Saccharomyces cerevisiae S288C: one gene and its partners. The protein of the gene in region 3 interacts with the protein of the main gene of each other region in a biochemical or structural test. Each region holds a gene or a part of one and is shown on either strand. Other genes may lie near its edges. The genes, in order: TIM17, JAC1 and PAM18.

Region 1 (3,173 bases), on a different chromosome or scaffold from region 3:
TGGTGGTGCTGATAGCGTCGACATTGGTGCTATCAGTAAAAGGAAGGAGAATACATCTGGCGACATCTCCAATAATTTTGCTGTTACTCATTCTGTTCAAGAAGGGCCAACAAGCGCGTTCAATAAACTTCACATTGTCGAAGAATAAATCGTTATTTTGTCTGACTTTTCTTAACTACCCATTTCATTTTATTACGGCTTGGTGCCATAATGATATACTAAATAAATATGAATTTTGCCTTTTCTTAATTTTCCTTATACGTATAGTCATTACAATTAATAAAGTAACATTATAAAGTTTCTGCACTAGCTTTTGGCTTGTTGATATTTTCTCTTCAGAGATGAAGTATGGTACTTTTTCAATATATAATATGTACATGGTTGAGAGAAATGGTTGGTAATCTTGAAATAAAAGGCTGAAATAAAGTAAAAACGTAAAGGAGGCTAGTGCGATACGTCATTTATGTAACAAAAAACATGCCGAATAAGGGTACTTCCAACAACGATGAAAAAATGGCTCATATAATGTCTACATGCCTAAGCTTGCAGAGGTTGAGAGGAAGGTGCTTCGGGCAAAGGAGGAGCCATAGGTTTGGCTTGCCAAGCAGCATATCTTTGAAACATTAGTCCCACACCTTCAATCACACCCAACAAACAAGCACACGTGATCGAACTGTTCCTTGTATGCCTCCAACCACCTCTTACAGCTAAAGCGCCACCAGTGAAAAACCCTGCAATGATAGCATTCCATGGGTCCTCTCTCTTTCTAACGGCCTTCACAGCGCAATCAAAAGTCGAAAATAAACCACCCCACACACCAAAATTACCACCCAGTACGGGAGCACGCGCTTTAATGGCGCTCATAGCTCCTGAACCACGCTCACCTAATGGCGAATTTCTAAAACCTTTAATCCCATGCCAAACAACACCACCAATGGCACCCATGGCAAAAGCACCACCGAAATCATTTAGTATGACTATAGGACATGGATCTCTCGAATGATCGGCTGACATAACGCTCCCGTGTACTCTATTTTTCTTAACGCTTTCTTCTGAACTTGACTCTTTCACAGCTTTTCCATCTTTTGATGAGAATAGTGCTTTTATCCTCTGGATTTGGCATAAAAATGGAAACTTTGGCGCAAGAATGCCGGGTTACCCACTTTGTTGAACAATAGCAGTAAAAAAGGCGTCCGATGAATGTTCGTTGTATACACCCGAAGATTTCTGTATTCAATGATATATATACATATCTATATGAATATACTATACACTTTATGCACAGAAATTAATGATTTGATAAAGTCCCGCTATCCTTCCGTGGCGCCACTGACAGTGGCATGTTATGAAATGCATATAATCGTTACAACCCCGAACCCGTGCGTGGGCTATTCAGTATAACCCGAATGGTATTGTTAGATATGCTTTATAATGCTGGAGTTCATGAACAACGGCGAGAGTGAACGTCTCCACCCAGACTGCTGCCGTGGCCGTATCGACTGCCGTTTTCATCGTCACCATGATTATTGTTGTTGTTATTATTACTGCTTGTGTTTTCCTGTATGCCTAAATTAGTCAGCTCTACAAAGTAGTATATCACGCCAGGCTGTGTAGGCTGGTTATTGATCCCGAAATCGCCCATGGGAGACTCCTCTACCAAGGAATCCACTCTAGTCTGGTCCCGCTGGCTCCTGAGTATACTACTGTTGCTTTTTTTGTGTGTCCTGTATATTGTTGAAGTTTCCCTCCTTAACATCTTCTTCTTGTTATCTTATCTCTTGTTTTTGCTGACTTTTTTCCCTTGTAAATACCTTTATCTGCGATCTTGTTCACCTTCGGTGCGTTGTCTTTTATATAGGCGGATCTGATCGATCTGTATCCCTATTATTGCCATTACCTTCTAGAAACATTTTCGCAGCCCCTTCGTTTCGTACGGTGTTTTCTGAGCCATATAAGTGAAGATACGTGAGAGATAATACAGTTAGATGGTGATTTACCTGAATATAAGGCAAAAATAAGAAATTATTATAGGGTTTATATAAGAGACTATTATTAGATCATGCCAACAAATCACTCAACGTCCTCGATGATTTGTTTTTGTAAAATGTAAAGGCCGTATTCTGTTGGATGGACATTTGTGACATTTTGCTTGGTCAGATTGTTCTTCTTATCTTTCCCGCCATACCCTTCATATGGGCAATCCTTCAAGTATTGACCCAACTTGCTGCCGTCGGTTAATACCACGAACTTCTTTCTGGTGGTTTCGTCAACGAACTTTTTGATTAAATCGTAAACCCAGCCGAAAACGGTGGGGACATTAACAAAATACTTTGCATATAACAGTTCTGGATAGTATTTTTGAAAGATTCCAATGACCGTCTTGCTACAGTTTTTAATGTCAGAATCCATTCGCCACACGGAGACGCCTTTATAATCGTGGACTTGGGTCATATAGTTGTTGTCGGAGCTGGTGAAATCTAATAAGCTCAAACCCTTTTCCATGAGCCCGATTCTGTAGCGTACAAACTTATCCACATTTTGAAACAATTCTTTTTTTTTGACCAGTTGGCCGTATAAGTTCCAAGTGACAGCCTTTTTATTTGCGTCGCCGTTTGCATCGAATGTCAAAATACCAACGTTTTGCAATTCTGTATTATGGACTTCCTTGTAGGCACAACTCAATGGGTTGAATTCCCTCCTCCAATTCAAAATATCGATCAGGTTCTGTACAATGGTGCTATATTCAAATTGATAGGCTTTGCAAAGTTTGTAGGTTAGACGATCGGCGATTTTTTCGTCATAGTATTTATCAACCTCCTCTTGTGTAAGACCTTCAGGATTCAACTTGTAACCATACAATTCATCGTATCCTGCACATTTTTCCTTGATAATACCAGGAATCGCTTTTTTAAGCTTATCGAAAACCTGCTTCTCACTGTCATTGTCGAATTTCATTTTAAGGATGTTAATTTAGTGAATTAATTACGATTGGGATTCTAAGTAGGAAAAAAAAAAGAGGTACAATTGCAATGTACAGCTCGTTTTTCTTGGTGCGATCACTAATTAGTAAAGCGATGGACATAGTTTTTTTTTTTCATTCCGCCCAATTCTAGCCACACCCGAGAATGTAGAAGTGCTAAAATAACCTTGAACTTTCAGATATAGTGATGATA
Region 2 (2,915 bases), on a different chromosome or scaffold from region 3:
AATTTGGAACGTGCCCCCGTTACTATTGTAATGGCATGCAGTTGCTGCCTTGTGGGTTGAGCGATACAGTTGGGAAACACACCGTAAGGTTGTACTGTCCCAGTTGTCAGGACTTGTATCTTCCCCAATCATCTAGATTCCTGTGCTTAGAAGGTGCATTTTGGGGGACAAGCTTCCCTGGTGTGTTCTTGAAACATTTCAAAGAATTGGAAGAGTATGTGGAAAGGAAAAGTAAAGAGTCCTACGAGTTGAAAGTTTTTGGGTTCAGGATAAATGATGAGGCAGTATCTGGTCCTAGAATGAAGTGGTTGAGACAATATCCATCCACGGAGGAGGACTGGGAAGAATTTGCCAAATGCGAGTTCGAGACACCGGCGGTTTAACCCTTGATTTATTTTCCTCTTTGCCCTACCATATACATATGTACTTTACCTATTTACATTGTTTCAGTTTTTATATCACCACTATTATTATTATTACTATTACCACTTTGGAGTACTTTAGTGATTCATTTCCAATTGTTTTCCTGGAGCCCAGTCTTTGAATGCCTTGGCCAAGTTGTACCAGTACTTTAGCTCCACGGTCAACTTCACTGCGGCGGCGTAATCCTTGTCATTGTAGCATTGTCCCAACTGGGCTTCAATATCTTGAATTCTTTCCTTGTTTTGCTTTTCAAGCAGCTTCACACCAGCTTCGTCGTCCATCTGGGATAATTCATCATGGATGTCTAGAACTTTCAATAGTAACTGTGGATCACTGGTAGTTACTTCATTTGAGGTCTGTTCTTGCGTCAAATCGATATTGCGCAAGAGTTTTAGCATATATTGTGACCTTCTAAGGGGATCTTTGAGAGTATGGTAAGCTTGATTAAGAGTTGATGACTGTTCACTACCTTGTTGGGCCATGTCTGGATGGTGCTGTGCTTGTAATTGCCTATACTCCTTCCTTAATCTGGATTGATCGATAGTCCAAATGGGTAGCTTTTTGGGGAAGGTCTTTGGGAACAGCTCGTAAAATGTAGAAGTGAATCTTCGTTGAACCAAGTATTTCAACATTGTGCTTGTGGGGCTTCTTGATACCTGTTTCCATTATCAGCCTCAGCCTTTAATTTCGCATCATCTTTTTAGTTTCCTTTTCTTTTTCGTTTTTTTTTTACCTATTGTTAAGAATTACGCTGTGAGTTTCATTGCTATTGTTACAAAAGACAAGATAGTCTCAAGATACAACTGAGAAGAAGCACAATTATGTCCGATAGATTCGTTATTTGGGCTCCCTCGATGCACAATGAACCTGCCGCAAAGTGTGGGTATTGTCACGGTAATAAGGGGGGCAACATGGATCAGTTGTTCGCATTGGATTCGTGGGCTCATCGTTATATGAACAAAATGGACGTTGTAAAGATTGAAAACTGCACAATTGGCTCTTTCGTGGAACATATGGATGTAGCCACGTATGATCGCATGTGTAATATGGGATTTAGAAGGTCTGGTAAGTTTCTTTATAAAGTGGACCCGTTGAGGAATTGTTGTAGGTTATACACCATTCGAACTGCCCCTCAAGAATTGAATATGACAAAGGAATTGAAAAAATGCATCAGCCGCTTTGCTACTAGAATAACAAGTGAGGACTACTGCCCAGCCGCTGTTGCAAGCAGTGATTTTGTGGGCAAAATTGTTAATGCAGAGATGAATTCTAAAACATTCTATACCCGATTTGAGCCTGCACTTTATAGTGAAGAAAAGTATCACTTATTTGTCAAATATCAGGAAAAAGTGCATCAAGACTACAATAATTCGCCGAAGTCCTTTAAGCGATTCCTATGTGATACGCCCTTTGGCCCTGAAGCGGTGTTGGGGACACAAGAATCATGGGAGCAGTTAAACAATTGGCAGCGAATGAAGCCAGGCGAGAAACTGAAGCATATGGGTCCTGTGCACGAATGCTACTACTATGAGGGTAAATTAATTGCCATCACTGTGTCAGATATCTTGCCCAGTGGTATATCTTCGGTATATTTTATTTGGGATCCAGACTACAGTAAATGGTCCCTAGGGAAGCTCAGTGCTTTGCGCGATCTTGCCATCATTCAAAGGACAAATCTGCAATACTATTACCTGGGGTACTATATTGAGGACTGTCCGAAGATGAATTATAAAGCAAACTATGGTGCGGAAGTACTGGATGTGTGTCACAGTAAATATATCCCATTGAAACCCATTCAGGATATGATTTCTAGGGGCAAACTCTTTGTCATAGGTGAAGAAGAGACGAAAGTTACTAAGGAGCTCTACCTCGTTGACTCTGAAACCGGAAGAGGGGAGGGATTTCCCACTGATAATGTTGTCAAGTACAAGAATATTGCTGAGGAAATATACGGTGTGGGAGGGTGTGCGTTTAAATCTGCAAATGAATCTGCATTGGAATTGAAAGAACTTTACGGTATACCGTACGAAGAGGAAGATTTAGATACCATCTACCATTTGAAAGAACACAATGGCCATGCTCCAAATGGTATTCCTAATGTGGTGCCGGGATTACTCCCGCTATGGGAATTGCTGGACATTATGCAATCTGGCAAGATCACTGACCTGGAGGGAAGACTATTTCTCTTCGAAATCGAAACGGAGGGGATTCGACCATTAATTAACTTTTATAGCGAACCTCCGAATGTCAAGAAACGTATTTGTGACGTGATACGGTTATTTGGCTTCGAAACTTGTATGAAAGCCGTCATTTTATATAGTGAGCAAATGTGAGCCTTCAACACACTATTCTAATAACAATCCTAATGTATAACATTTTTTAGCATTCAAACATTCTCACCATCGCGCTGAGATAATTTTATATAGTTGATGGAATAGTTTTGGAGGTGATTTATCCATTAAATACCTGATGCTTTTTTGTCTCCTCATCGC
Region 3 (3,180 bases):
ACTTACTACTCCGATTATGCGAACTGAAATGGTTTTACAGGACTCAGGAAGGGAAATTCGGTATTGATCTTCGCTGTATAGCAGAACTAGAAGAGTATCTAACATCCATGTACAATTTGAACACTTGCCAAAATTGCCACAAGCTGGCAATTCAAGGTGTCAGGTGCGGCAACGAATCATGCCGAGAAGAGAATGAGGAAACTGGAGAGAATAGTCTGTCTCAAATTTGGCATGTTGATTGTTTCAAGCATTATATTACCCATGTAAGCAAGAATTGTGATCGTTGCGGTTCATCGCTAATCACAGAGGGCGTATACGTTATTTAAACTAAAATACATAGCTTTCCGTGTTATTTACAAGACTTATCTATACAAACATTTGATTGCCCGAAGTATTTTAATCTCCTAAACGGCATGTGATTGAACACGGTTCGAGGTTTATACCACTTGTATTAGGCATATATGCAATTGCAATAACTCATTTTAGGTTCCCGTTTTACCTTATTTGCTAATACCCCTTTTTTCCAAAAAGTCCTTAGCTTCGTTTATCTTAGTGGCCAAAAATGGAGAACCACCTTTGTCAGGATGATTAGCTAACATAATTTTCCTATGAACCTCTTTCAACTTTTTTTTAGTCAATGTATTTTCTGTCAAATTCAAAATCTGTAGAGCCTCTTTAGAATTCATTTTCGGGTCAAATCCGCCTTTCAAGAAGGCAGTAGTGGATTTTCCACCGTTAAGTCCCTTCGATATTGATTTATATGCACCGGCTGTAAAATATAAAGTTAAAAAGGCCCCAAAACCTGTTATCACAGGATGTTCTCCCATGTAGTTCAAAGCTTGATCAAAATAAAGGTCCATTCCGGTCTTTTGACCCTGCGAACCATTCTGGATACCGACATTAACACCAGCTCCATCAACAGTAACGTTCGCAGAGCCATTAGTTTGACCAGGAATGGGTAGTTGTGGTGCCTCAATAGAATTACCAGTATTACTTTGAGAACTCATGATATTGTGCGGGTGGAAGTGTTTATGCAACCTTATTAAACTGTGCTCGGCCAGTGGAGACGTACAAATTCCACTACTATTCGTACTTTGTCTAGTTCAAGGGTCTCCGTCGAGTGAGTCCTACGTTGATTCAAATGGCTTTCACATTTGGTCCGATTCTCGCTCTTTAAATTTTTTGCCCGCTCGCCTCGAACTCAGCGGAGTGAAAAATTTTCACTCGTCTTTTATTAAATAATGTATTTCTAAACTCATCTCATCTCATCCCACCCTATCTCCAACTTACATCAGTTTCTATCTTGATCCGTGATATACCACTTTTAAGTTCTTCGACTTGTGATTTGAAAGATATTGCTATTCAAGCGTGAGTTGTCCATATTGTTACCACCACCTCCCCGTGATTTACATTCAGAAACTAAAAGGAAAAGGAAGTAGAAGTTTAGTAAGTATAAAAAAATGAGAATTTATCAATGCCATTTTTGCTCATCCCCATGTTATCCAGGTCATGGGATCATGTTTGTGCGTAACGATGCTAAAGAGTTTAGGTTCTGCCGTTCTAAGTGTCACAAGGCATTCAAGCAACGTCGTAACCCAAGAAAACTAAAATGGACCAAAGCTTTCAGAAAGGCTGCCGGAAAAGAATTGGCTGTGGATTCTACCTTGACTTTTGCCCAAAGAAGAAATGTCCCTGTTAGATACAATAGAGAGTTAGTTGCCACAACTTTGAAGGCTATGGCTAGAATCGAAGAAATTAGACAAAAACGTGAAAGAGCCTTCTACAAGAATAGAATGAGAGGTAACAAAGAAAAGGACTTCTTAAGAGATAAGAAATTGGTCGAATCTAACCCAGAATTATTGAGAATCAGAGAAGTTGAAATTGCCAGAAAGTTGGCTAAAGAACAAGAAAGAGCTGAATCAGTATCCGAACAAGAGGAATCTGAAGAAGAAGAGGAGGATATGGAAATCGACAGTGACGAGGAAGAGGAAGAACAATTGGAAAAGCAAAAGATTCTGCTAAAGAACAGAAGAAGAAATACAAAGAAAATTGCTTTTTAGTTAGAACAGAACCGGGCTAATTGCCTCTTTCCTTTCTTTTCTCATACTTATTTCATGGGATAAATAAGAATCACCTGTATACTATTATTTACATTACATAACATTACAATAACTATTTTCAAGGGTCCTCTTACATTCTTATCAAAGGTATTATATAATCTCAGTATATGCCAAACGTCTGACTTAGGAGTTAGAGATGTTCAGAAACTTCTCACCAAGTGGTGATTTGACAAATTCACAGAAATCACGAACGTCATTCCTGGATAGTATCTTAAAATCAATGATTTCAAAAATTGGCGGACTTTGGTGTATTCCATACCATACCCCAATGCGAACATCCAGTACCTGCCCATTTATCAATCTCAAATCATCTTTATGGGCTGAAAATAATCTTTCGCTCATATACAAACGCATCTCCTCTGCGCCATTTGTTGAATTGAGGCAATGAAGATTTCTAACTATCATTTGACAGAAAAAACCTTTAATGAATTCTTCATCCGATTTACAGAACAAGAAATCTACTAATCGAACAACAATCCTGAATCTTTTGGACGGATGAATAATGTTTGGTTCCATTCCGTTTCCACCGTAAACATTGTTATGAATATCGTAATTCGTTGCTATTTTATCCTTCAAACATTTTAAGTCTAGAACTAACTGGCTCATATAACACTGTCGTAGTTCTCTAAAAAGAGCAAATAGAGCTGTATGTAACCAATACAATATAGTGAATTATGTCCTAGAATAAGGGCATTCATTATTCTCCATCTCTGCTTCAGAGAAAAAAAAAAGAAAAAGAAAAAATAACGACAACTGCAGGACTCGAACCTGCGCGGGCAAAGCCCAAAAGATTTCTAATCTTTCGCCTTAACCACTCGGCCAAGTTGCCATATGACTATTGATTTATATCATATTACGAGCCCAAATAATACTGGGGTGTTTTGACAATCCTAATATAAACAGTCTTCGAGAAGTAACCAGTTGTCAAAACGGATTATCAGCTTGATTCAAGGAATGTTAACTGTCCTATATCATATAAAATATGAATCATACTAAATGGTGGAAGCACGGATCTTGGATCTAAACTAATTGTTCAGGCATTTATATGTTTGGGTAGTTT

The links.
Region 1: the proteins of PAM18 (region 3) and TIM17 form a complex in vitro, tested with the Saccharomyces cerevisiae proteins (3 studies listed by BioGRID).
Region 2: the proteins of PAM18 (region 3) and JAC1 form a complex in vitro, tested with the Saccharomyces cerevisiae proteins (one study listed by BioGRID).

What each region holds. Positions count from the first base shown.
Region 1 is NC_001142.9:144,942-148,114, reverse strand, and holds TIM17 (protein transporter TIM17), read right to left. Parts: upstream 1,015-3,173; coding exon 538-1,014; downstream 1-537. Other genes in the region: serine/threonine protein kinase YAK1, read left to right, coding at 1-148; IRC9 (Irc9p), read left to right, coding at 1-296; ROQ1 (Roq1p), read right to left, coding at 1,442-1,756; SFH5 (Sfh5p), read right to left, coding at 2,071-2,955. UniProt on the Saccharomyces cerevisiae protein: Essential component of the TIM23 complex, a complex that mediates the translocation of transit peptide-containing proteins across the mitochondrial inner membrane.
Region 2 is NC_001139.9:458,610-461,524, forward strand, and holds JAC1 (J-type chaperone JAC1), read right to left. Parts: upstream 1,056-2,915; coding exon 501-1,055; downstream 1-500. Other genes in the region: casein kinase 2 regulatory subunit CKB1, read left to right, coding at 1-383; ATE1 (arginyltransferase), read left to right, coding at 1,245-2,756. UniProt on the Saccharomyces cerevisiae protein: Co-chaperone required for the assembly of iron-sulfur (Fe/S) clusters in mitochondria. Stimulates the ATPase activity of its specialized Hsp70 chaperone partner SSQ1, to mediate the transfer of iron-sulfur clusters from ISU1 to GRX5.
Region 3 is NC_001144.5:165,077-168,256, forward strand, and holds PAM18 (Pam18p), read right to left. Parts: upstream 1,008-3,180; coding exon 501-1,007; downstream 1-500. Other genes in the region: Smc5-Smc6 complex subunit NSE1, read left to right, coding at 1-326; RLP24 (ATPase-activating ribosome biosynthesis protein), read left to right, coding at 1,461-2,060; TEN1 (Ten1p), read right to left, coding at 2,244-2,726. UniProt on the Saccharomyces cerevisiae protein: Essential component of the PAM complex, a complex required for the translocation of transit peptide-containing proteins from the inner membrane into the mitochondrial matrix in an ATP-dependent manner.